Tamandua tetradactyla: one gene and its partners. The protein of the gene in region 1 interacts with the protein of each later gene in a pairwise test. Links are inferred from orthologs where the notes say so. Each region holds a gene or a part of one and is shown in the gene's direction. Other genes may lie near its edges.

Evidence for each region.
Region 2: the proteins of ARAF (region 1) and RRAS interact in a two-hybrid assay, tested with the Homo sapiens proteins (2 studies listed by BioGRID). The link is inferred for Tamandua tetradactyla from reciprocal best matches to the Homo sapiens genes ARAF and RRAS.
Region 3: the proteins of ARAF (region 1) and TIMM44 interact in binary tests that used the Homo sapiens proteins (3 or more experiments, as listed by UniProt). The link is inferred for Tamandua tetradactyla from reciprocal best matches to the Homo sapiens genes ARAF and TIMM44.
Region 4: the proteins of ARAF (region 1) and NELFCD interact in binary tests that used the Homo sapiens proteins (3 or more experiments, as listed by UniProt). The link is inferred for Tamandua tetradactyla from reciprocal best matches to the Homo sapiens genes ARAF and NELFCD.

The regions. Positions count from the first base shown.
Region 1 is NC_135353.1:122,565,377-122,572,394, reverse strand, and holds the start of ARAF (serine/threonine-protein kinase A-Raf), read left to right. Parts: upstream 1-4,015; 5' UTR 4,016-4,117; coding exon 4,118-4,124; intron 4,125-5,450; coding exon 5,451-5,605; intron 5,606-5,743; coding exon 5,744-5,847; intron 5,848-6,587; coding exon 6,588-6,690; intron 6,691-6,779; coding exon 6,780-6,934; intron 6,935-7,018. UniProt on the Homo sapiens protein: Involved in the transduction of mitogenic signals from the cell membrane to the nucleus. May also regulate the TOR signaling cascade. Phosphorylates PFKFB2.
Region 2 is NC_135342.1:11,509,305-11,517,182, forward strand, and holds the start of RRAS (ras-related protein R-Ras), read left to right. Parts: upstream 1-4,863; 5' UTR 4,864-4,895; coding exon 4,896-5,048; intron 5,049-7,032; coding exon 7,033-7,120; intron 7,121-7,213; coding exon 7,214-7,316; intron 7,317-7,396; coding exon 7,397-7,505; intron 7,506-7,878. Other genes in the region: SCAF1 (splicing factor, arginine/serine-rich 19), read right to left, coding at 82-139, 346-453. UniProt on the Homo sapiens protein: GTP-binding protein with GTPase activity, likely involved in the regulation of MAPK signaling pathway and thereby controlling multiple cellular processes. Regulates the organization of the actin cytoskeleton.
Region 3 is NC_135337.1:84,342,742-84,350,213, reverse strand, and holds the start of TIMM44 (mitochondrial import inner membrane translocase subunit TIM44), read left to right. Parts: upstream 1-4,456; 5' UTR 4,457-4,750; coding exon 4,751-4,795; intron 4,796-6,455; coding exon 6,456-6,560; intron 6,561-7,472. UniProt on the Homo sapiens protein: Essential component of the PAM complex, a complex required for the translocation of transit peptide-containing proteins from the inner membrane into the mitochondrial matrix in an ATP-dependent manner.
Region 4 is NC_135327.1:26,323,369-26,330,984, reverse strand, and holds the start of NELFCD (negative elongation factor C/D), read left to right. Parts: upstream 1-4,602; 5' UTR 4,603-4,656; coding exon 4,657-4,743; intron 4,744-4,960; exon of another isoform or gene 4,961-5,670; intron 5,671-7,616. UniProt on the Homo sapiens protein: Essential component of the NELF complex, a complex that negatively regulates the elongation of transcription by RNA polymerase II.

The DNA.
Region 1 (7,018 bases):
ATCCTGGAGGTTATTCTTACGCATTAAGTAGATATCACCTTGTTATTCAAGATGTAATGGAGAGGCTGGAAGGAAGTGCCTGAAAATTTAGAGCTGTGTTCCAGTAGCCATGTTTCTCGATGATGATTGTATAATGATATAGCTTTCACAATGTGACTGTGTGATTGTGAAAACCTTGTGTCTGATGCTCCTTTTATCTACCTTGTCAACAGATGTGTAGAACATATGGAATAAAAATAAATAATAGAGGGAACAAATGTTAGAATAAATTTAGTTTGAAATGCTAGTGATCAATGAAAGGGAGGGGTAAGGGGTATGGTATGTAAACTTTTTTTCTGTTTGTTTTATTTTTCTGTTGTCTTTTTATTTCTTTTTCTGAATTGATGCTAATGTTCTGCGAAATGATCATGATGATGAATATGCAACTATGTGATGATATTGTGAATTGCTGAGTGCATGTGTTGGGAATGTTTGTGTTTCTTGTAATATTTTTTAATTAATAAAAAATTTTTAAAAATATTTTTATTGTGAAATCATCACACACATACTGTCCATCCACAGTAAGCAATCAGTGGCTCACAGTATCATCATATAATTATGTATTCATTCACCTTAATCATTTTTAGATTCGCATCACTCCAGAAAAAGAAAAATGAAAAACTCATATATCCCATACCCCTTACCCCATCCTCTCATTAACCACTTGTATTTCAATCTACCCAATTTCTATAACCCTTAACCCCTCCCCCCATTATTTACTTTTTTATCCTATTTTTTTACTCATCTCTCCATACCCTGAATAAAAGGAGCATCAGAACCAAGGTTTTCACAATTCACACAGTCACCATGTAAAAGCTGTATAGTTATACAATCATTCTCAAGAATCAAGGCTACTTATTTAAAATTAGGCCTAAGAGTCACCCCCAAGAGAACCTCTTTTGTTGCTCAGATGTGGCCTCTCTCTCCAGCCAACACAACAAGCAAGCTCATTGCCCTCCCCCTGTCTATATGGGACATAACTCCCAGGGGTGTGTACCTTCCTGGCAACGTGGGACAGAAATCCTGGAATGAGCTGGGACTCAGCATCAAGGGATTGAGAGAACCTTCTCGACCAGAGGAGGAAAGGGTGAGATGAGACAAAGTAAAGTGTCAATGGCTGAGAGATTCCAAACAGAGTCGAGAGGTTATCCTGGAGGTTATTATTACACATTAAATAGGTATCACCTATTTAATAATTTAACTAAAAGTTAAGGTATATTGGAGAGCCTGCAGGGAAGTGCCTGAAAATGTAGAGCTGTGTTCCAGTAGCCATGTTTCTTGAAGACGATTGTATAATGATATAGCTTTCACAATGTGAGTGTGTGATTGTGAAAACCTTGGGTCTGATGCTCCTTTTTCCTACCTTACCAACAGACAAGTAAAATATACAGCATAAAAATAATAATACGGGGAACAAATGTTAAAATAAATTTAGATTGAAATGCTAGTGATCAATGAAAGGGAGGGGTAAGGGGTATGGTATATATGAATTTTTTTTGTTTTCTTTTTATTTCTTTCTCTGAATTGATGTAAATGTTCTAATAAATGATCACGATGATGAATATGCAACTATGTGATGATATTGTGAATTACTGATTATATATGTAGAACGGAATGATCATAAGAATGTTTGTGCTTATTGCTATATATTTTTTTAATTTAAAAATTAATTTAAAAAATGTAAAAAAAAAAAAAAGAATCAAGGCTACTGGAGCACAGTTCAACAGTTTCAAGTACTTCCCTCGAGCCAGTCCAATACACGATAAACTAAAAAGGGATGTCTACAGAATGCATAAGAATAACCTCCAGGATAACCTCTCAACTCTGTTTGAAATCTCTCAGCCACTGAAACTTTGTCTTATTTCTCTCTTCCCCCTTTTGGTTAAGAAGGTTTTCTCAATCCCATGATGCCAGGTCCCAGCTCATCCCTGGAGTCCTGTCACACATTGCCAGGGACATTTACACCGTGGGAGTCATGTCCTGCAGCGGGGCAGTGCAGTGAGTTTTCCAGAGTTGATTTTGCACATCTCTTCCCAACTTTGGTTTGATGATGTCATATTAATAATTTGAAATAAGTCATGGTGAGAGTATTTATGATATAAAATGACGACTGCTAAAAATTAGTTTTTTTTCCGGAGAGCTGGTTTTTAAACACTTACCAAACACCATTGGACATGTGTTTTCATTTTTCTCGGGTAAATACCTAGAAGTAAGATTGCCAGACTGTATAGCAGGTCTATGTTTAAGTTAATAAGAAGCTGGCAAAATGTTTCCAAAGTAGTTGTACCATTTTACCTTCCCACTAACAAAGTATGAAAGTTGTTCCACATCCTCATCAACTTGTGGTATTGAAAGTCCTTTCAATTTTAGCTATTAAATGATGCAGATCTGAATGGAAAAGGGGTAATGGGAAACAGATATGACAGCCAACTAAGTGGAACTTCTGTCTTTCTTCCTATACACAGAGAAGATACTCAGTGAATAAAAGTTGAAGCATGTTGAGGCCCCTTACGTAGTGACCTAATCTCATTTCATTGTAGAGGGATGCTGAGGCTCCAAACAGGAGAAGGCAGTCATCTCAAATACCGCAGGCAGTTCATACTGTTGGGGGGATAATTAAAATTAAAATCTGCCAACCCAAAGACTCTCCTCCACAAAGGTAGAAAGAATGAAGCAGTTGTTTTATGAATAAGCATTAAATCAGACTGCAATACACATCACAAGAAATCTGCTAAAGTGATTGCAAAGAGAAAGAAATTTCACCCTTTTATATAGCCAAGCAGATACAGCCCATTACATGTTTTCATGATAAATAATAACTTATCCTCAGGTAAGGAAATATGACAGCATACACTTCCTATTGCTCAACTTAAATTCACCTATTAATTGGGGATGGCCATCTGTGTTAGTTAATTGCCTATATACAGAGGAAAAAAATAAACCTCATATTTCTATGACATGCAGGTAGTTACACCTTAGAGCCAGGCACCTAGGCTAAACTCGCATAGAGACCTGGAGATAGGGCTGCTATCTTCCTTAATGTTTACATTTCAAAGAGATGGATGGCTCTAAGACCCTCAAGAAAAGCCTCCCTGAGTTGTAAAGTGGCAAAAGGTTTATTTAGCTTTTAAAAGACTTACATGGGTGGGCAATGGTGGCTCAGTGGCAGAGTTCTTACCTGTTGTGCTGGAGACCCAGGTTCGATTCTTGGTGCCTGCCTCATGCTAAAAAAAAAAAAAAAAGATTTACATATATCTCAAAGGGACAGAGAAAAAGTTTACAATTACAAGTGTTTGTTTTTTAAAGAAAGTTCTAAGAAAAGGGAATGAGGGATGGGGTGTCTCTTTCCCTTTTGGCACCAGGGACAATTCTTTTATTTATTTAAGATTTGTATTTACCCTTACGATACTTCCAGGTCCACACTCCCCTGCCCTCTTCATCTGCCGGTCTCATCTTTCAAAATTCTTATCGACCCCGTTCCTCAAGGAAGCCTCCCAGAACAGCAGGCCGCCTCTCCTAGCGCCAGCCCCCACCCCACACCCGAAACCCGCCTTATCAAAGGCCATGATTGCAGCCTCCAAGAACTGGAAAACACTGCAGATCATTTGGTATGGTTCCGACCCATTTCAAAGAAGGAAAAACTGAGACAACAAGAAAATCCCAATTGGGTGCGTAAGGCTCCCAGTCATTGGCATGAAAAGGACGCTTAAGGACATCCCGTCCAGATTCTGAAACCCCCAAGGTCAGCCCCAAGTGACCGAAAAACACCCAGCTTTATTCCGCCACGGCATTACTGGGGTTAAAGTTTCGTAGTGCTCAGACCTCTCCCCGATTGCGCCTGCGCGAGTCGGGACCTGCGAATTTGCCATAGACTATGACGTTTCAGACAGACCCTCCTAATCCGGAACACGACCCACATTCCGCCGGTCCTGCCTTGACAGGCATGATCTCAACCCAATAAGCATGGGGGGCTGAGTCCTGTAGAGCCAATAGCGAAAGCCAAAGCGGGGGTGGAGGCGGGCCCTGCGAGGAAGCAAGAAGACAGGCTCAAGATGGAGGCGGCGGCAGCCGTGGCGGCATGACAGGTGAGGGCGGGCCCGGCAAGACTCGGTTTCTCGAGCAGCCGCCGGGCACGAGCAGGGAGTCTGAAGCGAAAACTCAGATCCAGGATGGCTGTGCCTAGGTCTTGGCGCCCCCCGCCCAGAACCGGAGGAGTGGTTTGACCTGGGGCGATACCATCGTGGACAGCGGGGGTGGGGGGGTAATAGACAGGAATTGGCTGCCGGTGATGGTTTCACCCGCCTTGTCAGCGCGCCTGCGCAGAGCCCGGTGGCCCTCGGTAGGCGGGGCAAGGCCGACCCAGTCCTGGGCTGAAGCGCGGTGTGTTCCTATTTCCCTCTTAACCATCCTAAAGTGTCTGATGATTCTTATCAACTCCAGGCGGTGCATGGAAATGTGACTCCTCCCTACTCGCTTCCCTTATTCTGGATCAATGTTTGACCGGACAATGTCAGGATTTCTCCACTACCCATCCTTAATTCTCCCCAGCACGTTTGGATTCCTTCCATCAGTCCTTTTCACTTTACACCAATATTATATCTGTGACCCGTCATTAAGTTATCAGGGAGAATGTTGGAGACGTTACTTCCCATATAGCTCATGAAAACAATGTCTGATGTTGCACCTCCTTTTCTTTTACCCATGTCTGAATATCCACCATCACCCCACCCCATTGAGCTCAATGTCTGGTGATCCCCATTTGCCACCTGTCTCCTCATTACAGCTTCTAGTGACCCTGATTACATCTCCCTTCCGCACAGTGTCTGATGACCCCATATGAACTCCTCATTACATAGTCTGGTTACTTCCCATTATCCATCTAACTTATGGCCTATGATCCTCCCATCAATACTACACCCCCCCCCCCCCCCAGTGCTTAAGGATAACCACGGTACCCTTTAAGAAAACTGGTACAGCCACATTCCCCCTAAACTAAGGACAGTGTCTGATTATCCTCTATTCCCCACTCCTCCCTCACCACAGAACCTGATAACTCCACTAAAAAGCCAAGAAAGTGTTTATTCATGTCCTTGATGTACCTAACTCCCACAGTACAGCGTGTGCTGACTTCCCCATTTAGTCCCCAGAAGAGAGCCACAGAGTCTTGTGTACCCTGTGCCCTCCAGTACAGTGTGCTGCTTCCACTCCCTCACCCTACCCCCACCCCCACCCCCACACAGTAAATCTGAGACCTTGGAGCTCAAGAGTGAGACAAGCAACAAGGTCTGAGCAGAGGAAGGGCTGGATCAACGTGGAGCCTGGAGATTGAATTTTATTTTGTTCCCTGCTACTTTGCTTCCAGACTACTATTATTGGACCTCTGAATTCCTTCTCTGCCTCTCTTCCCCTAGGAGCCCCATGGCACCCACCCAGCCCCACCTCAGCCCATCTTGACAAAGTCCTAGGCTCCATGGAGCCGCCACGGGCCCCCCCTGCCAACGGGGCTGAGCTGTCCCGGGCAGTAGGCACCGTCAAAGTGTACCTGCCCAACAAACAACGCACAGTGGTGAGTCTGATGGGGGCAAAGCTGGCAGGGGTTGGGAATGGACCCAATTGTAAGTCTTTGATCAAAAAGATGACAAGGGATGAGGGTGAGGTCTTTGTGGAGGGATGGGGCCCCCCACCTATGCACACACATACGCAGGTGACTGTCCGGGATGGCATGAGTGTCTACGACTCTCTAGACAAGGCCCTCAAGGTGCGGGGTCTCAATCAGGATTGCTGTGTGGTCTACAGACTCATCAAAGGGTAAGTGTGGCACTCCTACACCCACCCACTGGGTACCCAACCTCCCTGCCATCCTCTCTTCAGAGTCATCTGACTCCCCTTTCACTCTGCTATGGAGTTTTCCATTCACTTTCCTTGGACTTCCATTAGTTCAGTTAATTCACGAGTTCATCCATCTTTTATATCATTACTTCACTATTTTATTGGCTTGTGAGTTCAACAGCTCATTCACTGCTTGGTCCCCAAGTCTTCACCATGCTCCATTGCCACCTCCTGGAGTTCAGCTGTTTTGTTCATTCACCATGTCATTAATTCATCAGTTCTGGCCTTCCTCAGTTTCCCCACTTTTCTGAATGGGGCTTTGCTGACCTATTTATTCCTCTGTTTGGGGGCTCCTTACTTTTTTCTCCACATTTTGCTTTATATCTGTTGGTTCAGTGTCTCTTCAACCCTTTCTCAGCTTTTGTTCACAGTCTTATTTGAGTCTCACCCCGTGGTTAAGAAATGGACTCTTCACACTCTCCTACCACTCATTACCCTTGTGAACTTGGGCAGGTCACTTTACCCCCTCTGGGCCTTGGTTTCTTCATCTATAAAATGGGGACAAGGATGGTAACTAGTTTCTAGGGTTTCTGTGATGAGAATTAAATATGCCAGATATTATTCTATGTATGGCAGGCTTAGAGGGACTTCTGGGAGGTTTCCTGCCTCTCCATGGCCCTGTCTACCCTCCCACTCTTTCCCTTCCATGCCCTCTGTAGGCGAAAGACAGTCACTGCCTGGGACACAGCCATTGCTCCCCTGGATGGTGAGGAACTCATTGTTGAGGTCCTCGAAGACGTCCCACTGACCATGCACAATTTTGTGAGTGTAGGGTGGATAGTGAGGGCAGGCTGTGGGAGTGGCGGGAGGGTCCTTGACCAGGCTTCAACCTCCCTGCTTTGTGGCAGCAGGTACGGAAGACGTTCTTCAGCCTGGCGTTCTGTGACTTCTGTCTTAAGTTTCTGTTCCATGGCTTCCGCTGCCAAACCTGTGGCTACAAGTTCCACCAACACTGTTCCTCCAAGGTCCCCACAGTCTGTGTCGACATGAGCACCAACCGCCGACAGTGAGCCTGGCCTAGGGTGGACGGGGGGATGGGAAGAACAGAGGCCTAGCCACAAGACCCTTATAAACAGCTGACCCATGTTCC
Region 2 (7,878 bases), on another chromosome or scaffold:
CAAGGGAAAGTTATACGATGAAATCAGGATAAGGAATGCAGTGATGGATCAGGGGGCTAGAAGTAACCAAGCCCATCATACCTTTATCATTCGGCAGATCCCCTTGCAGGGAACTTCCCACAGCCTGCTGAATGGCCCGCTGAGGAAAAAGGCAGGAAGGGGAGTCAGAGGACTCGTGCAAATGGCTCCCAGCTTCTGCCTTTTGGAGGACAATCATTCTAGACACTGGGGCCAAGAGTCCAGGTCCCCAACCCCTCCTTCCTATTAGGGCCCAGGAACTGGGGCTCTGGAAGTGGGACTCCCAGCCCCACTTCTCTCTCAGACACAGGCATCCAGCAGCCTCACCAGGATAAAGGCAGAAGGAGAAAGCGTGGGGTCTCTGTCTGGCGGGCCATCACCTCGATCCTCCCCCGACTCCTCCGTCTTCCCTCGAGACTCATCTTCCTCCTCCATGGTCACCTGGTGGCCAAGGGGATGAGAGTTTGGGATGGAGACTGGAGTAGATGAGAGCAGGGGCTGGACATGATGACCTCATGGGCTCATGACACTGCCTCAACCAGCATCCTGTCCGCGGGGTAGCCCTCCCTCCTTTGCCTCCTCCCAGCTTCCCTGTCCTTGGGCAAGTATCAGGTACAGTGCAGACACCAGAGGGACAAGACCAATTTTCTTCCCCTTTCTAGATTTGAGCTCCCTCCTTTGTCAAAGGGAAGCTATCCAGCCTCCTATGTCAACATCCCTTTTCCCAGTTCCCTCGGCTTCCCCCCAAACCCAATCTTGTTCCCCACCTCATGGTGGCCAACCCAACCCCACTGTTGAGTTATTTCAAGTAGTATGCTCCACAATCGCTTAAGTCCACACAGCGCTTGCCTTGACCACCACACGACCTCCTAAAGCAGCAACTTTCCTTGATGGCAAGGAACCAAAGAAAATGTCCTTGTATGCATGGTACATATGGAATTACCAGAGTGGTCTGCTAAATGAGCATCACACTTTTAAAGCAAAAACACTAACCTTCAGAAAGGCATGCCGTCCCCAAGACCCCACAGGAGGCATTCACCTATCTACCCGTCGCATGCAGATGCCTTTGCCATGTTGCATAAATTCTTGGATTCTACTACCCACTCAGCCAGTTGAAAGATCAGGCTTCACACTGGCGGTAGGGTCTTGATTAGGGGTTCAGAAGATATGATTACTTCAGCTGTATGCTCCCCCAAGACCGTCAAATATGCCAGTCTAAAAATAATACCCAATCTCAAAATTCCCATGAAGCTTCCAAATCCCTAACTCCCAACTCAGTTCCTCATCTGTAAAATGGGAAAAATAGGGGCATCTAATCTCAGAGAATCGTTGTGAGACTTTAACAGAGACTGAGCCCTGCAAGACAGTTAGCATTCCCCAAAGGCTCAACATCAAGAAATAGTAAATATCATCATTAGCCCTCAAGGCCGGCCTTCCCCTATACCTCCCCGACCCCGGCTACGCACCTGCAAAAAGAAAAAAAAAAAAGAAAAAAAAAGACGTGGGCTCTGGTGTCACTCTCACTGCAGATTTTCAAACTAGCCCAAAGCTCCCACTCAGCCTCCCAGCTCTCTAATAGACTACAGCCCCTTTCCTGGTTCCTACAGCAAGCCCACCGGAGATAGACTTGTTTTTGACTGATCCTTTGCCTCTGGCCCTTTCCAACACCAAACCTTCCCCCATAATCAACTGCCAATAATCGTCAATGCCCTCAGCCCCCATGACAGTTTCTGGCCCACAAGTCACTCTCCAGCAACCTCCAGGGAAGCATAAGCACTTAGAACAATGACTGTCACATAACAGAAGCTCAATCAAGATTTGCTGATTCGACTTACAGATCACCTAACCCCCTGCAATGGAGGAAGATGCACCCTACCCTCACTCATGCCCCAAGCTTGGCAGAAGTACCCACGGTTCCTTGGATCTTTTAGACAGAAGGCAAAGGTGGCCCTGAAGACAAAGTAGGTCCCCAGATCAGTGTTTCCCACATTACAGGTACTGATAGCAGTACATGAACAGCTTGTTATGAAAAGACAAGTAGAACACACTAGAAACTCTTCACAGTACCTACAAGCGGTAAGTGGAAATATTACTTTGTGTAACTTTGGTATTAGTTAAACACTTATGTAGGTTTGGACCGGGTCTCAAGGAAAAATGTATTTTTTACTTGTACATCAAGGTCAAAGCAGTTTGAAAATACTGTAGCACATGAATCTAAATGATACTATGGACCTTCCCAGAAAAATGTAGACTAATTTTAACTCTTTCTCCACTGCCCCAGGGCAATGCAGAATTTTAAATCTTTCTTAATTCAAATAACTTTCTGAAGGACAAGTAAATGCGGGCTTGGCGAAATTTCCAACAGTTACTTTTGTCTTATTCTGGTACCAAAAGGCATTCGAATTTAATCCAGACATAGAGGTGGCCCTCTTGCAGAAGTACTCTCGGGTTCTTCTATTACCACACCCTGCCCCCTTTGCAGTCACATCAAAAGCCACCTAGATTCCAGGCCCTTCTAACTGCCCCCATCCTCCTGTCACTCAGATTGGACCCTCTCCAGACCTTGGAGACCCGTCCAGGCCTCTCAATACATCTCTGTATTTAACTCTGTCCCTTAGTGGGCTCATCCCTCCCCTCTGGATGGCCTTCAATGACCCCCTGGCTCTTAAAACTCTTCTTCCGGGCCGCCAAATGGCTCCACACCATGTAGAGGAGTCGCATCTGCAGGCCAGCTCGTGTAGACACATCCCAGTCTTATCAAGACATACCCCAGGCGTTCTAGATGGCTCTTCAGATAATCCTCAGCTCCTACAGACGTCCCTAACCCCTAGGGACATATCTCAAGAACTCAAAATGGCCCCAGACCCTCTAAACAGACCCTAGCCTCCGGTCAGCCCATAGAGATGACCTATAGTGCCTACAGACACAACTCAGCCCAGCTAGGTGATCGAGGGCAGGCCCCGGTCTCGGTCCAGACGTTTTAGAAGCTGGGGGTGTCTCGCAGACACCCCCACCCAGCACCCAGAGCTGCGTCCCGGGGCTCTGAGAAGGCCCCCTCCTCGGTGCCAGGCTCCGCCGCCGCTACCGGGCCCGAGACCGCCCCGCTAAACCCTCCAGGCCCCGCGGCGTGTAGGGAGGTCCCCGGGACAACTAGCGACCCAACTTCGCCCCGCCCACCCCGATAGGCCCGAGCCCCGCGGCCCGAGCCGCCGCCGCCATCTTACCCCGCCGCTCGGGCTGCGGCTCCGGCCCCGGCGCGGGGCGGGGCGGGCTGGGGCGGGGCTCGCGAGCAGAGGTGGAAGACAGGAGGCGGGACGAAAGCGCCGCCGAGCTTGCCGGGACTTCAAGTACCGAGCACGGGGCCGTGAAGGCTGGTGGGATGGAGGATGGACTCGATTTCCCGGCTGGCAATGGGGCACAAGAGCGGGGGCGCGCGCGACGCACGTCGGGAGGCGTAGTCCGGGCGCGTTGCCTCCGTCGCGTGGGGACAGCCAGCGGGTGAGAGGTGAAGTGGGCGGGGTTGCGGTAAGCCTCGATGAGGCCCCACAATGCCCTGCACACGCTCGGAAATGGTGACAACAGGAAGTGACGCCAGAGGCGCGCTGCAGAACTAATGCAAGGGAATTGTAGTTCCACGAAGTGGGCATGGGAGCAGGGGAAGAAACTGGACTGGTTGTGAGTTGCTCCGCCCACATTCTGCGGGAGTCTTAGAACTCAGAACCCCCAGCTTCCTCTAGAACCGAGTTATTCGGCCCTACGGTCTCCTCTCATTCAGGGCACAGGAGTTAGGATTCCCATTTCCCTCCTCCCTCAGATTCTGAAGTCCGAGCCCTCCTTCCTCAGACCAAGGAGTCGGCTTTTCAGGTCCCTCCTCTCCTAGACAGGGGATGCCTAGTCTCTCTGCTCGCATCTTATATCCCAATTCCCTCAGACCTAGAATTCCCGGCTACCAGTCTCTCCAACCCGAAGAGTCCGGGACCCCAACTCCCTCCTTTACCGAACCTAGTAATAAGGATCCCCAATCCCCCTCCTCCTCGGGGCCCAGGAATCCAGGTCTCCAGCTCCATCCTCTCCCAGGGACCCAGAAGTTTGGATCCTCATTTTCCTTCCCTTTCAGGACCCAGAAATCCTGGCCCCTGGCTCCTCATGACCCAGGCGTCCCGGCCTGGGCGAGCTGGCTCATGCGTTAGGAATGCAGTGATCTCACAGCCCCTCCCTGGCCCGTTCCAGGACTGTCCCCCTCCAGGGCCCCATCTCTCCTCCCAGTCTGTCTTCCGTTTGGCTGGGACAGCGGGAACCGGAAGCCTGGGTCCCTTAGCGGGCGGAGACTGCAGCATCCAGCTCGGGTTGGGAACTTGGCGAGGATCCCAGGACGGGGTGGAGCTTCCCCTTAGGACCCGCTCCTTCCTCGGAGCGCGCCTATATACGGCCGCGCGCTAGTCGGCAAGCCCCGCCTGCCAGAATAAGGCCTCGGGACAGTGCAGGCAAGAATGGCACCACAGGGGCTCTATTTGCATGGCCCCGCCCCGAGCGAGCCTCCCGCCCCGTCTGCAGGAAGAATTAGAGCGCACATTAGCATATCCACGCCCCCAGATGGCCCGCGGGTCGAGAGCGCGTGGCGCAGCTCGGCGGGAGCAAAATGCGCTCATTAGCGTATCCCCACCTCCTTCGGAATTCCCCTCGGCCTGGACCGCGGGCGACTCGCCCTCATTAGCATATCCCCGCCTCAGCTCCTCCTTAAGTGTCCCCGTGCAAGTGCTCTTGTTGCTGGAACTTATGGTTATGCAGTAGGCTCATTAACGCAGTCCGCCCCCTGGCCCCGCCCGGCCACTCCCCCTCCCCGCGGCGGTAGCAGCGGCGGCAACAGCGGTGGCGACATGAGCAGCGGGGCGGCGTCTGGGACAGGGCGGGGGCGGCCCCGGGGCGGGGGGCCGGGCCCGGGGGACCCCCCACCCAGCGAGACACACAAGCTGGTGGTCGTGGGCGGCGGCGGCGTGGGCAAGAGCGCGCTGACCATCCAGTTCATTCAGGTAGTGAGCCCTCACCCTGAGCGGTGTCCCCGGGATCCAGTACTGAGCCCTTTGGGAGAACCCTAAGACCCCGATTTCCCCTGAACTTATTCCTGAGACACTCCTATGAGGTGCTCTAATCTCACAAGATCCCCTCAGATGGGCACCCTGAGCCCCAAAACCGGCCTCCACCCCCTGCACGCGGGATCTTCCTCCTAAAATTGCATTCTGAGATCCACAACGCCCTGACACCCAAGGATCCCCCTTCCCTGCTGACCTGGCTCTGAGCGCCTCCTGGGAGTACCCCAAACTCATGAAAACCTCCCAGTTCGGACCCTAAGCCCTACACTGGGTGCCACCTCTCTCCTCCTCCCGCTCAGCTCCACTCCCAGAGCCCCGGCTCCCCCAAATCCCAGATCTGGATTTCCCCCCTGGCCCATCCGGAGCCTTGTTGGGAGAATGCCTTGCCCATACCACAGAGTTCCCTCTAGTTGGGATTCTTAGCCCTTTCAGGGATCTCCCCCAGAAATTAGAAATTAACCTCAGACTTTGCCTCTGAGCACCTTCGGGGACCATCCAGTCCTGAAGGAGAACCTTCCAACCCCTGCTTTGAAATAATTTTCCCCTCGGACCCAAGAGGTTTCAAAAGGATCATGCCCCTTGGCCATTCCAGAAAACTCCATGACCCTAATTCCTGGAGCTCCACCATCCTACCAGACCAGAACCCACCCTTCCAGCCCCAAGAAAACTAGCCACTTCTCCATTTTGAGTTTCCCTCCACTCGCTTTCCTGAGCCCCTCTCAGGTACCCCAGATATCTCCCCAATCTTCTCTAAGGAAGAAACCCCCAGATTCTTGACACCCCCAGAAAGACCTGCTCCTTGGTTGTTTCTCTGACCTTACAGATGCGCCTTAATGTCTCTAGACATTAAGGGGTTGGAAGGTTCTCCTTCAGGACTGGATAAACTCTCTGGATGTGCACCTATAATACTGACAGATCTCCCCAAAACCCATGTGCAATCTGGAGGCTCTGCCCCAGCTCTAACCCTCAGCCCTCACCCCAGCCTCTCCTAATGCACTCTGAAGGCACGTCCCTCATACCCCCCACCAGGAGCCCGGCCCCACAGCCTCCCTCCCAGACAACAGGGGTAACCTCAGACCCCAGCTGCCCCGTCACCCCTTGTGTCCTGAAACTCCATCAGGAAGTCCTGGCTTCCCTTACCATCTCAGAGAAACCCCAGAGAGGGGTCTGGCCCCGAGATGCTCCCACAGACCCCTAATGAGACCCCAGCGAGCCCCTGCCTGGGAGGTCCTGCCTGCTCAGAGAAAGGCCTCAGCCCCAGGCCCTTTGCACCCAGGGGCCGACCTGGAGCTGGCCATAGGCCTAGCTGGAGGCGGGTGGGACCCAGGCAGGAAGGGAGGGGCCGGCAGGCAGGCGGGGCAGCTTCTCAGCTTCTCGTCGGCCAGATTGGAACCGAGACCTTCCCCTGGGAGGAGGTGCTGGAGGCCGGAGGAGGAGGGGGTGGAGGGAGGAAGAGCCGAGGACAGGCTGGGATTCCAGCCATCAAGGGCTCCCAGTAACTGTGCTCACTGCGTGCCAGGCAATGTACTTAGCCGGAATTTGCCCGGAATCTTACAAACACTGGAATAGGTGTAGGGCTATTCTTAACCCATATTTTATAAATGAAGAAACTGAGGCTCAGAGAAGGGAAGTCACTTCTTCAATGTCACACAGCCAGGAAGTGATCACTATGTGAGATGTACTTGTGTTTTATACCAAAAAGAGGGAGAGGACCAAGAGATGCTCTGAGAGAGAAGAGGGGAGAGACACCGTGGCAGGGAGCAGGGACAGAGACCCAGAGAGGGAGACAGCCCTAGAGAGACAGAGAGGGACAGAGGCCCAAAGAGGGGGCTGGGTAGACAGCAACCCAGGGAGAGAGGGGGGCACAGACAGACTGATCCCAGGGACAGGGCTGCAGTAACAGTCCCCCTCCCGCTCCCACCAGTCCTACTTCGTGTCTGACTACGATCCAACTATCGAGGACTCCTACACAAAGATCTGCACCGTGGATGGCGTCCCAGCCCGGCTGGACAGTGAGGATGGCGGGGACCAGGGCATATGGAGGTGACGGAGGGGGAGCGGGGTGAGGCCCATTCCCACGGTGGCCCCTCTCCTCGTCTCTGCAGTCCTGGACACTGCGGGCCAGGAGGAGTTCGGCGCCATGCGGGAGCAGTACATGCGTGCCGGCCACGGCTTCCTGCTGGTGTTCGCCATTAACGACCGGCAGAGGTGAGGGGCTGCGGGTGGTGGGGGGCGTCGGTCGGGGCCCAGGGTCCGGCTGGGGCTCACGCCTCTGGCTTCTCCCCCAGTTTCAACGAGGTGAGCAAGCTCTTCACGCAAATCCTCCGAGTCAAGGACCGTGATGATTTCCCTGTCGTGCTGGTCGGAAACAAGGCGGATCTGGAGGCGCAGCGCCAGGTTTGGGTGCCCTCACTCCCACTCCCACCCCCGACCTCCTCTGGGCCTGGGAGTCTCCTCCCAGCGCACCCTGTGTCTCCTCCCCTCGTGCCCCACTGTCCTGCTACCTCTGATGTCACACCAATCCCACCTCACCAGATGCATTGCCCCCCCAGCCAGATTTTTTGGGGGGTTTCCAGCATCGCCCAGCAGAGGGCCTGGCATACAGGAGTCCCCAGGAGAGGTGACTGGGGACAAAAAGGGGTCTCTACTTCTCTCATCCACCTGCCCCTTGCCTCTGTTCCACTGGCCCGGCACAGCTCAAGCTTTGTCCCCCCCAGAGCTAACCTTGCCCCTCCCCTGCTCACAACCCTCCCTTGGCTCCCCAGCACCC
Region 3 (7,472 bases), on another chromosome or scaffold:
ATGAATCTAAGTGAAGGGTATACGAGTATGCATTTCACAATTCTTGCAACTTTTTTGTAAGTTTTGAAATTTTTCAGAATAAAAAGTTGGGAAAAGCAAAGAAACTCCCCCTCCGTCATCCGCATATGTGCTCCAGCTGCCATCCTCGCCTTTATGTACAGCAAAGATTCTTTGGTGGAGTCTTTGATCACTGCCCAGGGCTGTGCTGGTAAATGTTTATCAACTGGCTCTCCAAACCAACCAACCAACCAAGAAAGGACCTGATTTGTAGCGTTTACCAATTTATGTGGTATACATACTGCCACCACAACCCAATTTCAGGTTACAATGTGACATCATTGAACGTGGAATTGGGAAGAGATGCCACTGCACGCCATCCTATAATATTTCCACCATACAGACATGATAGATTTCAATGACCTCAAAGAACATAGATAATAGTAGCATGTAGTAAATAATTAGAAAGTGGTGAGTTTTGAGTACTTATTACCACTGTTTTAATATAATATTTCTTACCATAAATTTATACACCTATTTTCTAAGTAATGGATATTTTTAACAAGTGGCTCCACAATTCCTGAACATTTAACAACTGGCTCTCATGAGCTGGTACAAGCTGGCTCCAGCACATCTCTGTAAAAATCTCAACCTACTGAAACCTGACTTCCACCCACAACCCTCCACCAAAGCCCTTCTTGCTCATCTCATCAGGGACCCCCATATCGCAGACACAGTTCTGTAAAGGACAATGGATGCAATTCTGTTCTTGCCTTGCCTGAGCTCTCTGCAACATTCAGCACTGCGGACTCCACCTGCCTTCTCAAAAGCCCCCCGGGTACTCTTCCTACTTCTTGCCCAGTCTCCCTTTGTGCCAGTTTGAAATTGTTGTGTACCCCAGAAAAGCCATGTTCTTTAATCATGATTCAATATTGTAGGGTGGAATATCTTGATTAGGTTGTTCCGTGGAGATGTAATCCATTCAATTGTGGGTGTGACCTTTTGCCTAGATGGAGCTGTGACTCCATCCATATAAGGTGTGTCTTAGTTTACTGGAGTCTTTAAAAGGGGAAACATTTTGGAAAGAGACCAGTGCTGACAGAGAGGCAGATATTTAGAGATGCCTGGAGTACCAACAGAGAGAGCAAGATGTCTAGACGTGTATGTTTGGAGATGCAGAGCCCAGCAAATGCCGCCATGTACCTTCCCATGAGATTTTAAGCAAGCCAGAACCCAGAGTTGTGTCCCAGAGGAGCTAAGTGAAGGCCCACAGATGCTTAGAGAGGAAACCACTGGCATCAGAAGCTGGGAGCAATGGAACCAGGAAGAAGGACCAGCAGACACCAGCCATGTACCTTTCTATATGACAGACAAGACATTGGCTTTTCTTGAGTCGTTATCTCTCTCTGGATGCCTTAGTTTGGACAGTTTTGTGACTTTACAACTGTAAACTTATAACTTAATACATTCCCTTTTTAAAAGTCATTTCCATTTCTGATACATTGAATTCTGGCAGCGTTTAGCAAACCAAAACACCCTCTAAGGCTCTTCTTCCTTTTTGCCTTTGGCCTTTGGCATGCCCCTTTGACACAGTTTCCTGGGCATTCTTGTTCAACTCCACAGTTATAACCACAACAAAGTAGCCATATTTCTAGCTCAGATCTTCTTCTCAGCAACAAACCAGTATAACCCAATCACTTGAGTATACTTCTCTTGGAGGTTCCACAGACATCTTGAACAACGCCAGAGTGGAAGCCCTCATCCTTTACTCCCTCCTGGGGTGGAGCTCCTGAGGGACAGGGAACACAGGTCTGTCCAATGCTGAAGCAAGAAAACGCATGTTCCCCAGTGCCAAGCTGCCTCCCTCCTCTTCAAAGAGCGAAGTCCCATAAGCTCATATCACAGTTTTATAATCAAAAGGCTTTAACAGTACAGCAAATGCAACATATATTAACTCCACCACAGGATAAACAACTCCTCTCTCTCCCACCAAGCTGAGTTTCAGATTACATGGTCTTCTCCAAGTACTTCTGCTTGGTGGTGGCATTCTCTAATGAAAATAGTGTCTGAGTGCTGAAATGACAAAGGCCTGGGCTTCTTCAGGGCAAACTTGTGTCAATTCATACTGACTTGGTGGAAGAGTGGCCCACACCAAAACTGGTCTCAGCTTTCACTTCCCAAAGTGGAAACCTCAACCAACAGGCTCCTTTTGGAAGTGCTGTTGAAGAGTGGCTCATTCAAATCAGAAAGGGAAATAGACGATAAAGACTGAGATGGTATAATCTAGGAATGCCTAGAGTGTATAATGATAGTGACTAAATGTACTAATTTAAAAAATGTTTTTGCATGAGGAAGAACAAAGGAAAGTCATTACTACAGGGTGCTGAAAATAGATGGTAATTAATATTTTAAAATTTCAACTTATGTGTGACACTAAAGCAAAAAATGTTTATTTGGTACAAAATTTAAATTTTGACTAGTGCATTTCCTAATATAACTTATGTAGACAGCTTAATTGAACACTGTAAGTACATGGAACCTTGAGTAGGACATGAGATTTTGTGAGTTTGTCCAGAGTGATGCCCCAATAAATTCCAGACTGATTTGAACAGTGAATAAAAAAGAATTTGCAAAATTCCCTTTGGAGAATGGTGAGAAAGGAGGAAAATTCAGCTTCCCCAAGTTGAATTCTTGATATTCTCACAAGCAGTGTGGACAACCAAAGCTATAGGCTGAGCCCCCAGTTTGGGGTTTGTTCATATGAAGCTTAACCCCACAAAGGATAGGCTAAGCCTACTTAAAAGTAGGCCTAAGAGTGACCCCCAAGAGAACCTCTTTTTTTGCTCAGATGTGGTCTCTCTCTCCAGCCAACACAACAAGCAATCTCACCACCCTCCCCCTGTCTACGTGGGACACGACTCCTAGGGGTGTGGAACTTCCTGGCAACGTGGGACAGAAATCCTAGAATGAGCTGAGACCCAGCATCAAAGGATGGAGAAAACCTTCTCGACCAAAAGGGAGAAGGGTGAAATGGGACAAAGTGTCAATGGCTGAGAGATTCCAAACAGAGTCGAGAGGTTATCCTGAAGGTTATTCTTACACATTAAGTAGATATCACCTTGTTAGTCAAGAGGTAATGGAGAGGCTGGAGGGAACTGCCTGAAAACGTAGAGCTGTGTTCCAGTAGCCATGTTTCTTGATGATGATTGTATAATGATATAGCTTTCACTATGTGACTGTGTGATTGTGAAAACCTTGTGTCTGATGCTCCTTTTATCTACCTTGTCAACAGACGAGTAAAACAAATGGAATAAAAATAAATAATAGGGGTAGCAAATGTTAAAATAAATTTAGTTTGAAATGCTAGTGATCAATGAAAGGGAGGGGTAAGGGGTATGGTATGCATACATTTTTGCTGTTTTCTTTTTATTTCTTTTTCTGAATAGATGCAAATGTTCCAAGAAATGATCATGATGATGAATATGCAACTATGTGATGATATTGTGAATTACTGATTATAGATGTAGAATGGAATGATCAAAAGCTAAGAATGTTTGCATTTGTTTGGTGTTTTTTGGCATTAAAAAATTTTAAAAATAAAAAAAAAAGAGTGGGCTCATTCGCTCTTGCTTTTGGAGAAACACACGTGCCATTTTCTTGCCTACTCACAAAGGCTGAAAGGCACTTCCTGGGGCTTGTTCCCAACCAACAGCCAGGGAACCCCCTGCGAGAGCTGACACTCTCGGCCAGGCCAATTCTGGCAGTTACTGTCAAATCAGTCAGTCGGAACCCATCCTCAGTGTCAGCTGGTCTAACCAGCCAGTCAGCCCTTCCCTGGGAGTCTTGGGTGGTGGTGGTAGTGATTATTCGCCAATCAGAGATCCTAATTGTCAATTCATCAGTCAGCCGATAGGAGCCTCAGTGGTGATCAGCCCTCCAGTCGGACAAGCAAGATGGTAGGTTGGACATGAGTTGGCCAATCGGTGATGAGTAAAGTCGGTTCAATCCAGGCACTGTCAGGCAAAGGTCAGCCAGAACCTTCAATCACTGCAGTCAGGATCAGTGATTGAAGCAGTCACATGGCCATTCAGGGTCCGAGTCAGTCAGACAACCGATCACTGAGAAAGTTTTTGGCAGGCAGTCTGTCAATCTGTCCATTCAGGGAGTCAGCCAGAGGCAGCAGTGAGCCAACCAGTCAGGCCTCTCAGGCGCTCTGTCTGTCAGTCAGTCAGGCATTGTCAGTGAGCCACAGTCAGTCACTATCAGGCTGGTCCGTCGGTCATTTCGTCACAGTCAGTTAGAATCCACCAGACACCGTCCTCGGACCTCTCCCTCGGGCCACCAGAATTCTGAGCTATACGTGCGAGAATCGTGGCTCCAGACCGAATCCACGCCACAAGCTCCGCCCCTTCGTCCTTTCGCCCAATCATAGGCCTCCGCCTCATGGGAGTGCCCGCCTCCCGCAGCACATCCATCCATGGCCTCGCTCTTCGGAAGAAGGCCCTATCAGAGGCCTACCTCTTCCAGAATTTCCCGCCCTCTATAAAGCCCCGCCCCGCCGCTAGACTCTGTAGCCCCTCCCAATCGCCGACCTCGCTCTTCCCTCTGTTCTCCCACCCAATCAAAGGCCCTTCCCTCGCTGAGACCCCGCCCTCCCCAGTGCCTTCCGTCTCTGGCCCCGGCCGCGCCAGGTGGCCGCCGCGGATGACGCAATCGAGCCGCGCCGACGGAAGGTCGCACGGGCTCATCCAACATGGCGGCGGCGGCGCTACGGGGTGGCTGGTGCCGGTGTCCGCGGGTGAGCGGGCTTGCGGGGCCGACAAGGCGGACCTAGGGGGCTCCGGGCCCGAAGCCTTTCCCTGGGCGAAGACGAGAGGCTTGGGGTTGGGTCAGCTGAGGTCTGGGCGGAGGGCCCGGAGCGAGGCCTGAGGGCGGGGATCCGAGCACGCCGGGCCAGGGACGGCGAGGCGTGGAGCCCGGCGAGGAGTGGATTGCCCCTCAACTCTTACTTACACCCCACGTGTACGGGCAAGTGATTGGTGGCCGCAGGTGGCCTGTGGAGAAAACCTAGCGAGGGGAAGGCAAAAGCCAGGGACAATCATGGCTCGTTTATATGCCAGGTCATCTACAGAGAGCATTTCCTGCATCGCCTCTCGTCCCTCACATGGCAGTTTTGAGATTTAAGCAACTGGGTCGTAGGGCGGTTGAGTGTCAGAGCGCGTAAAGCGTACTCAAAAAATTAGCACTTCACGTCGTTGCTGTTTGTCCCTATTTCACCGATTAGGAAACGGGAAACTCAGAGAGGTTAAGCGACCTGCCCACAGTACCAGAACTAATGGGTGGTTGATCTGATCCAAAGCCCAAGTCAGTCTGACTCCCGAGTCAAATGTTAAGAGGAGTTTCCCCGTGATACTCAGCAGTCTTTGGCTGCTTGTCTTTTTGAGTCAGGATTTAGAGGATAAATTTACATGTTTGGATTTGGGCCTAAGACCCAGAGGGAGTCAGCTTAGGTTTGATCCTGATAAACTGTTTCTCTCCCTGATCCGATGGCCATTCCCTTCTGTTTCAGACTGTGGTTGAGGTCAGTGGCTCTGGAATTGATGGGGATAGGCGCATTGAGAAATAAAACATGTTATTCAAACTCCCAAGAGTTATTTTCATATAGCTGTAGAAAATAGTGGCATCTGTATAAATTGCAGATGTTGCTTGGGTTTCCTAGACTTAGGAGTCAGAGAACAGAGACCAAAAGCCCCAGAAATATGGAAATGAAAGAACAGTTCTGTTGGTTCGTTTGACACCAGTATGCCAGTCTTTGCACTGAGTTCAGTATTGAATAGGACCCAGAGGGTTCCTTCCCCCAAAGTTTATCACTTGGTAGAAAACGAAATTGTCTTTCTCATGAGATTAGCTGGGTCTTTGCCCAGAGTGACTCACTTACAATGCCTTGCTTGTGGTTTAGCCCTTCACCAGGGCATTGAGGTTTATTTCAGGGCTGTGCCTGGGGCCTGTGTTTTCAGAGGCCTGTGTTGCCTCTGAAAACCCAGGTCTTTATTCTTCAGAGGCAGACAGAAGTGGAGGTGAGCTGGTGAGAGAAAACTGCCTGCCACCAGTGTCAAGGCTCAGCATTCTCACTTTCAGACTGAGATTAAAACTGGACTCATAAATTTAGCCTTCTTTCTCCCATAGCTTGGCATTTCTTGGACCCATCTGTTTTTCCCTAGATTCAGAAACAGAAGGGTAGATACAGCCCTGCAGCTGACGACTCAATGTTTTTTCTTTCCACCAGACCCCACTGGCTCCTCAGACATTGTAAAGATCGAGGAGGGCCCAGTACTTAGCAGACGTGCAATAAAAATTAGCCAATGATTGTCAGATGACCTTTGCTCTTTTCCTGTGACATACTTACTTCCTAGTCACCCTCATGTGTAATGGATCTTTTTCTTTTCTCCCTCAATTAGAGGTGCCTCGGCAATGGGATCCAGTTTCTTGCCAACCATAGCCTCATGCTGCTACCCCATGGTTCACCCTATCAGTTACACCGGCTGGGTGGAGAGGTGCTCCTGGTGAGTGACTTAGGATGAACAAGCAGATAGTTAGGAGAAGTCTGAAAAGTCAGGCTTGTTAGCAGAAGGGAGGGGTAAGAATAGGAAGTTGCCCACACTGTCAGTAGCATCTGAGTGGTGGACGTTCCGTGTCCAAGGCCTTTGGGGCTGCAAAGCCCCTGTATGCTTAGTCCTCTCAGAATCTCTGGGAATGAGTGTACTGGTTGTGGCTTGACATGCTTAGGGGTAGGGAACTCTACCTCACAGAGTAGCTCTTTCTGTCAGCTTTAATGGCTAGAAAAGTCCTCCCTGTTTTGAGCTGAAATCTACTCCCTTGTGGCTTCTGCCCATGGGTCCCTCATCAAGCAAAGCTGTTCCTTTTCATTGTGCTAGTCCTTGAGGCATTCCAGCCTAGTCACCTGGTCATCCCCTAGATATCAGCTTCCCTGGGCTACCCCTCTCACATTCTTTCAGTTTCCTTGTAGGTAGTGTTTTCTAGAGCTTTTGCTCCCCTAGTCACTCCTCTTCAACTGTGCTTCTGTTGGTTGATTCCCCACCTTAAGGAGGGAAGCCTAGAACCTGATAGTGGGCCTGTTGGGGCTGCCATACCCCCGTGTCCTCTCTTTTCCTGCATTCAGTCTCAACTTAGCCACCTTGGTACAGTCAGCTACTTGCACCTGCCTCACTCAGATTCCATCTCCCCAGTCCTGTTCTGGGTCAGTTGTAGGTATGGGACAGGCCCTGTGACTCTTTTCCTTAATTACCCAGTCCTCCCACACCCAAGATTTGCAGATCTAGAGTATGTGTCAGGGAGGATGCCAGGTGGCACAGTCTCTGATGGCATTAGAACACAGGCTTTCCTGCCGGAGGACTGGCCAGGATGGGCATCTAAATGAGCCTGCAGCCTGCTGGTGCAAGGCCTGGTTGTCCCTC
Region 4 (7,616 bases), on another chromosome or scaffold:
TTAAAAAAAAAAAAAGACATGAGACAGAAGAGATGCCCCATGGGATGAAAGAGATCATCTAGTGAAAGAATGGAAGTAGAGAAGTGATCTAGGCCTGAGTCCAGAGATCCTGCAATATCTGGAGTCCAGGAAGAGAACAGGAGAGAAGGCTTAGAAGGAATAATGGCTGAGGCCAAAGGAAAGCCATGAGAGTGAGCTGGTGTGGATGCAGGAGAAGGGCAGTGTTTCAAGGAAGACAGAGCCATCATCTGTGTCAATAACTGCTGAGAGATCAAATAGAATGAAGGCAGAGAAGTGTTCTTTGGATATGAAAAAAATGGTGCCATTTGTAAGTGTGGTTCAGTGGTGTGGAGAGGACAGAAAGCAGATGTGAGTGAGTATAAGTGTGAAAGGAAAATGAAGAAGTTAAATCTGAAGGTGGTTCTCATACACCCAAAGGGTAAGATTCTTCAAACTCTACCTCTCCAGCTTCCTGACCTCTCAAAAGTGTTCACTTCCTCCTCAGGCCACTGCCTTAATCTCAGTCATAGTCACTTCTCACCTACTCCTGGGTCCCCTTGGATCCTTCTTCTCCATGGCAGCCAGAAAGGAAACCCTATATCTGATCATGACACTCTCGTGTAGTAAAGCCTTCAATGGCTCCCCCCAATCCCCTGGGGATAACCTAAAGCCCTTGTGAGTTCCTCAGCCATCTGGCCCCTGTCTACCTCTGGTGTCTCGCTTTCTCTCTCTCAATCTCTCTCTTCTCTTGTTATTTACACTCCAGCCATTTTCTTGTACTGTCTTCTTTTATTTTCTCCCTGGGCCCTCATCTCTTTGTCCTCCAGGTTTTTGCAAGTCTCAGCTGACATATCATTTCCTAGAATGGTCTTCTTCGACTTCTCCTTTAGGTCAAGCCCTATTCCTTGCTCCTTCCACTTCATTGGAAGTGGCCTTTTTTCCCCTTCCTCACATAAGCAATAGAGAGACTGTTTCTCTGTTCACCTCTGCATCCCAGCACATGACACCTAATAGGCAGTTAGTAAATACCTGCATTCAATGAAACCAACTTCTCATTTGCATGGGAATTCTGAACCAGAATTTTTCTTAAATAGGCAAATATTCTAAGTGGTTTTAGAATGTTTAAGTAATGCAAGCTACTTTGGACATTCCATATAAGGATTTTTAAAAAATGACAGGTCAATAATTTCTCAGGACACAAGACCTACAGACTCAATTATTCTAAACTATTGCGACTTATCAACTGAATACAATGTACTCATCATGTGTTGTTTGTTAATCCATTTAATAAGTAACCTTTTGTTGAGGGAGAGATGAGTTAAATAATTCCTAATTCTATAGGAGCAATTAGTTATACACATATTAATTTGACTGCTTTCAATTCAGGCACAATTTCTTTTTTTTAAATCTGAGAGGAGAGGTGTTAGGAGTTTAACAACCATCCATTCTTTCCAACATTTTCAGGAAGTAAATGAACCCTGAAACAAGCCAACAGCAGGGGCACTCATTAACTTAATACTCTTTAATCTTGTGAATAGAATAGAAGCTGGAGCTCAATTCATTGAATCCCTGAGCTGCAGGCTTCCATCTCCAACCACCTGCAAAAGATCTCCACATGGGTGTTCTGTCTATGCCTCTAATTTAGAGATTTCCAGTTTGAACTCATTATCTTCCCCTGCAGAAACCTGCCCTCCTTGGGGGTTCACCATCTTGGCAGTGCACTGAACCCAGCCACACAGGCTGGAAGTCTCAGCAGTATCTTCCTGGCCCCTGCTCCCTGGGACCCCAAAGCTACCACATTTTCAGGCCTTTGCCCCAATCTCACAGCAGCTCCCCGACCCATTGCAGCCTCCATGAACTCTTTGATTCCTCAAGTCTCATTCCCACCTCCCAAAGCTCCCCTCTGTAATGTCTCCTGCCTGCACAATGGGAGGTGGATTAGAAAAACCCAGATATGGTCCTTCACCTTCTCAAAGCAAGAAAAACCCAAAAACCAAGCATTTCATTCACACCACAATAACTGTATTAGTTTGTTAAGCTGTCAGAATGCAATGTACCAGAAATGGAATGGCTTTTAAAAAAGGAATTTAATAAGTTACAAGTTTACGATTCTAAGGCCATAAATATGTCCTAATTAAGGCATACAGAGAAGGATATCTTGGCTCAAGGAAGGATGATCTAGATAGGTAAGTGGCTGGCATATGCTGGTCCTTATTCCCAGTTTCCTTGCTTCCAGCTTCTAATGAAAATGGTTTCCTTGCTAAGCGGCTGTGGGCATTCATTTAGGTGAATCAGTATTAAACTCTGAGTTTCATCTCTTAGCTTAACATCTGCCGGGGCTGGAGATATCTTCTCTCCAGCATCTGGCTATTTCTGAGTTCTTGTTTAGAGCCCAGGCTATTTCTGGCTCTATCTCCAAACGTTTAAATCCACTCTGAACTCTCTCCAAAATGTTTCCCTTTCTAAAGGTCTCAAGTAAACTAATCAAGATATACCTTGAATGGGTGGTGCCATATCTCCATCTAATCAAAATGTCACACCCACAATTGGATGTATCACATCTCCGTGGAGATAATCTAACAAAAAACTTCCGCCTTACAATATTGAATTGGGATTTAAAAATCCACGGCCCCCCACAAGATTGGATCAGTATTAAAACATGGCTTTTCTGGGGTGCATAATGTTTTCAAACCACAATAACCGATGATTACTGACCACCAGCCATGTGCAGATTCCATGCTCAGTGCTTTTCACACATTATTGCATTAAAGCCTTCCAAATAGCCTTCGGTCAAAGACCTAACTCCTTACCAAGATCTGGCCCTATCTACCTCTCTCACCTCATCCAAGCTTCTCCTTGGACTCCCAGGTGCCATTCTCAGTAGGCTTTCTGTTCCCAGGACACATGCCAAGCCTTTGCCCTGGCAGTTTCACTCTCCTAAAATGTTCTGTCCTTGGTCCTAGCTTGCTTGACTCTTTTTCATCATGTGAATCTGAGCAAATAGTTGATCAGAGGTTTTTACTTCTGCTATGGGTTGAATTGTATCCCTCTAGAAGACATGGTCAAGTCCTAACCCCACAGTGCCCTAATCCCGTATGACTGGTGTCCTTATAAGAAGAGGAGAAAAGAAGGCCACGTGAAGACGGAGGAGCGGAAACTGGAGTGATGGAGCCCCAGCCAAGGAATACCAAGGATAGTTGGTAAACAGGAGCTGGAAGAGGGGAGGAAGGACCCTCCCTTACAGGTTTCAAATGGAACAATGAGCCCTGCCAACACCTTGATCTGGACTTCTGGCCTCAAGAACTGAGAGACAATAAACTTCTGTTGTTTAAGCCATGTTTTCCTGGTACTTTGTTACAGCAGCTGAAGGAAACTAAGATGCCTTCCCTGATTGCCCTAAATAGGCCTCTCCTACAGTCACAGTATATTCACATTTAACCACCATTCATCATCATTTTGTTTCCTCTTCATCTCTCTCAAGAGAATGTAGGTGCCACTGGAACAAAGGCCACATGCAATTTATCCAGCACTGAGTTCCAGAGAACCACACAGCACCAGGCACTGAGCAGACCCTCAGGAAATATTTGTTAAAGAAAGAAAGGAATGTATTAAAGCCTGGGGCTACATGAGCAGCATCCCAGGGCTCTTCCCTCTAGTGCCTTTTCCTTGCAGCCACGGGCATTACCTTTCAAAGCATCCAGATCTGACAGTGCTAACCTCCCTGCCCAAGGCTTCCAGTGGTCATCATCAGAACTGGCATTTTTTGATGCCCCCTACTCTGTGCCGGGAACTGTGCTAAGGGCTTTAAAGTCATCATCTCATCCATGCTTCCCAACTACCCCACTAGGCTGCTCTGGAGGACTGCATTCTGACTTTTGTGGCCCCTAGTGACTTTCGTCTTCATAAAAACATACTGAAAATGTTATTTTACAACTGCCTTGGTAACTTTATGTGAATTATATCTATACAAATATAATCCAGACTGGAGTCATTATTGCAATACTTTTTTTTGTATGCTCTATGGTGGGGGTCACATTTCATTCTTTTTCCATGTGACTATTCCATTATTGCAGCACCATTTGTTTAATTTTTTTTTGGGGGGGGGGGAGGTTGGGTGGAAAGACCGGAACCCGGTCTTCTGCATGGCAGGCGGGAATTCTACCACTGAACTACCCTTGCTCCCACACCACAATATCCACTTTTCCTCCGATTTTAAAAGAAATTAAAATTAAAACATTTTTGTGGACCTAGACACTAAGACCGATGGATGTCAGCCCTGCTCTTGTGCCCAGTGTCAGCTAGGGAATCCCGCCCAAAGGCGAAGCCACGCCAGTCTGAGCCTAACGTAAAACTACCCAGAGGTAAAGTTCCGGCCAGGCCAAGCTCCCTGTTCAAAACTCGGATCTTTCCTTGGGCCCAGAAACGCCCTAAGCCGGCTATGGGAGGACGGAGCCAGCAGTGACCCTCAGCCCTTTGTCCCGGGGGCGGAAGCCCGCCGACTCCGCCTCCCTCTCCGGCCACACCCCCTCTTTCGACCACGCCTCCAGCCCGAGGCGAGGCGCGCGGCCGGGGGGGCGGGGCCGCGCGAGTGCCCGCCCGCTGGCCTGTCTCCGCCGCGCGCATGCGCCCTGCTTGAGCGCGCGCTCGCTGGAGACGATGGCGGGAGCCGCGTCAGGCGCCATCATGGATGAGGACTACTTCGGGAGCGCGGCCGAGTGGGGTGACGAGGCGGACGGTGGCCAGGTGAGGGGGGGCGCCGCGCGCCTCCCACGACGACTCTTGGTCTCCGTCGCCGGCGGTCCGGCTCCGCTGCCGCCGAGTGTGAGGCGCCAGGCCGCGCGTGCTCATCCCGTGGTTTAAGCACTGCCCGCCCCGCCCGCCACTTCGCCCCGTGCCCCGGGCTGGCGGGCGGGGCCTCCACGCTGCGCCGCGCCCCCCACTGGACCCCCCACTCAGCGGAGGGTTCGGCGGCGCGTCCTTTCTAGGCCTCCGTTTCCTCACTTTTAAAAAGATGGGGATGGGGGACCGAAGGGGCGGAACCTCCTCACGCTTCGTCCTGACTCACCGAGGGCGTCCCGGAACTCCTGCACTGTGGGCAGCCGGCTCCGAGCGAGGACCCTGGTCTCGGGCCCAGCGCTGCTGCTGCCAAGCGGGCGCCTCAGTTTCCCCAGAAGCCCAGTGAAGGGCTCTGGCTGGACAGGAACCGCTTACTTTCTTGTACCACGAGATGACCCGCTTAGTAGTCACTCTGAGCCAGGCCCAGTGCCAGGCCCTGTTATTTCCTAGACCCCCAAGGCGAGTAGGACACAAACTCAGGTGGAGGAATTAACATTGCAAAAAGCCAAGTCAGCAACATGGGAAAAAGGTAGAACTTTGGGCATATGTATAACCGTTCTGTAAACCACCATCATCTTTCCAGTGCTTTGAGTTCATTCTTGATCAGGGACTGATTGGCGTGGGAGCCAGGGAAGGACCATTTTTACCTCTCTGAGGGGGTATTGGAAAGCCCGAGCAAGGGGCTCTAGCTCAGCCAGTGTACCCCTACCGTATTCTAATATTAAGACCCACTGAGGTGCATGTTTGCTTCTTGGACCCCACCTCTGGAGACTGATACAGTCGATGTGGAGTGGAGCCTGGGAATTTGTCTTTTTGAACAAGAGTTAAGATTAGGTACGTTTGGGAAATACCGAACCAATGTTTTGAAGATAGAAATGGGGTTGCAAGGTGATGAGAGAAAGGTGTTGGAACCAAGGCACATAGATGTAAAGACGTAGGCCGTGTTCTTGGGACTGAAAGAAGTCCTGTGTGGTTGGTTGCCTCCTAGAGGGAGTGTCATGAGGTACAGTACAATAGAGAGCAGGTTCTGAAGGGCCTTTGAAAGTTTCTGAAAAGTGTGACTTGGTCACAAGTTTGGGCAGGGAGTGACTTGAGTGGATTTGTATGTGGGGTCATTCCACTAGTATTGGAGGATTATAGAGGTTGGTAGTCATGTTTAGCTAATTGAGAGCCTGTGCTAGGTACTTTCATGTGTTCACTCATTCCCCCCTCAAGGGTTTGAGTTGGGTATTACTCTACTCATTTTGTAAGTGAAGAAAGACTGTCCAACCTCACAAAACTGGTAAATGGAGGAACGGGGATCCAAACCCAGGTAGGTCTTTTGTCTCCTGACCACTTTATCAGACAGCTGACCACTGAAGTGGTCCAGATGAGAGAAATTTAGGGGTTTAATTGGTTTAATGGTGGGTTGGTAAGGGGCATCCTGTTCAAAATGTAGTACTTATCACATTGAGCCTACTAGTCATAGAGTGGGACCTATCTTAAGGGCCATCCAATCCAATGCTCTCATTTTATAAACTAGGTGCATGAGTTACCTGCCTTAGTTTACAGGTAGAAATAGTAGAAAAGCCAGGCCTGGACCCACTAGTGGGAGGTTGGGGAAGCTCATGCTTGGAAAACATTTATTGTGGTCCCAAACGTTTATTTGTGTCCCAAATATTGATCCTAGTGAACTTTTATTAATAAAGGTTGGGCCAGATACTCATTTCACATGCATTTCTAATTATGGTATGCTAGGAGGGGGGGGTGGGGGGAAGCCAGGGAGGTGGCAGAAGAGGTTTTGTAAGCAGATCTTTAAAGATAGTGCTAAAATTCTGTGTATTTTATGCCATACTTGGTGGCTTTGTGGCAGCAGCTGGATGTGTAAGGAAACTATATGAGGATATGTAAGGTAGAAGTAAGAATTATTTAGTGCAGATTGTTCATTCTGGCTGCAGGTTGCAAATGGGGATGAGACTAGACAGATGAGCAAGTGGAAAGGGCAAGGCCATGTTAAAGAGTTTGAATTTTTTTTTTCCCCTGAGAGGGAGATAGAAAACTTTAAGCTCGAGAGCAACAGCACATTTGTGGCTTAGGAAGATCACTGTGGTATCAACATAAAAGATGACCAAAAGAAGGAAATGAAACTTGAGGCATTAGGGGAATATTTGCTATTGCAGACATGCAAAACAAAGAAACCAAAAAGGTGAATAAGGGAAGAAGGGGCCAAATTGAATGCATTATGTTTGAGAGAGAATGGGTCCCTGTGTCAGGATGTGAGAATGGGGTGAGGAAAAAATTGAGGATGACTCCCAGGTTTCTGGCTTTTAGGTAACATTTACTAAGACATGGATTGTAGGAAGATGTGTTTTTAGAGAAAAGATGAAGTCAGTTTTGTCCTAATGAGTTTGGGTTACTCATTACATCCAAACAGAAATGAGAATAAATGGTTGAATGCTTGAGTCTGGAGCTCAAGAGAGAGGTCCAGGCTAAACTGTAGACTTTTGAGCAGGCCGGTGGCATGACCCTGGAGAAGATGTGGTAATAGAAGAAGAGGTCCAAGGTAGAGGCAGACCCATAAGGCCAACACTCTTGGTGAAGCTCTGGCTTTCACAGCCTGCCTCCAGGCCACTCACACAAATAGGATCTAGGAGGAGACTCCCCAGTCTCCACAGGGAAAGTATCATGCTCCATCTGCTCCCAAACGCCTCTTTCAGAAAGATCACTGACTTGCCTCAAATTAGCAGTCCTGTTAGTCTAGAGCAGGGGTGGGCAAACTTCTCTATAAAGGGCCAGATAGT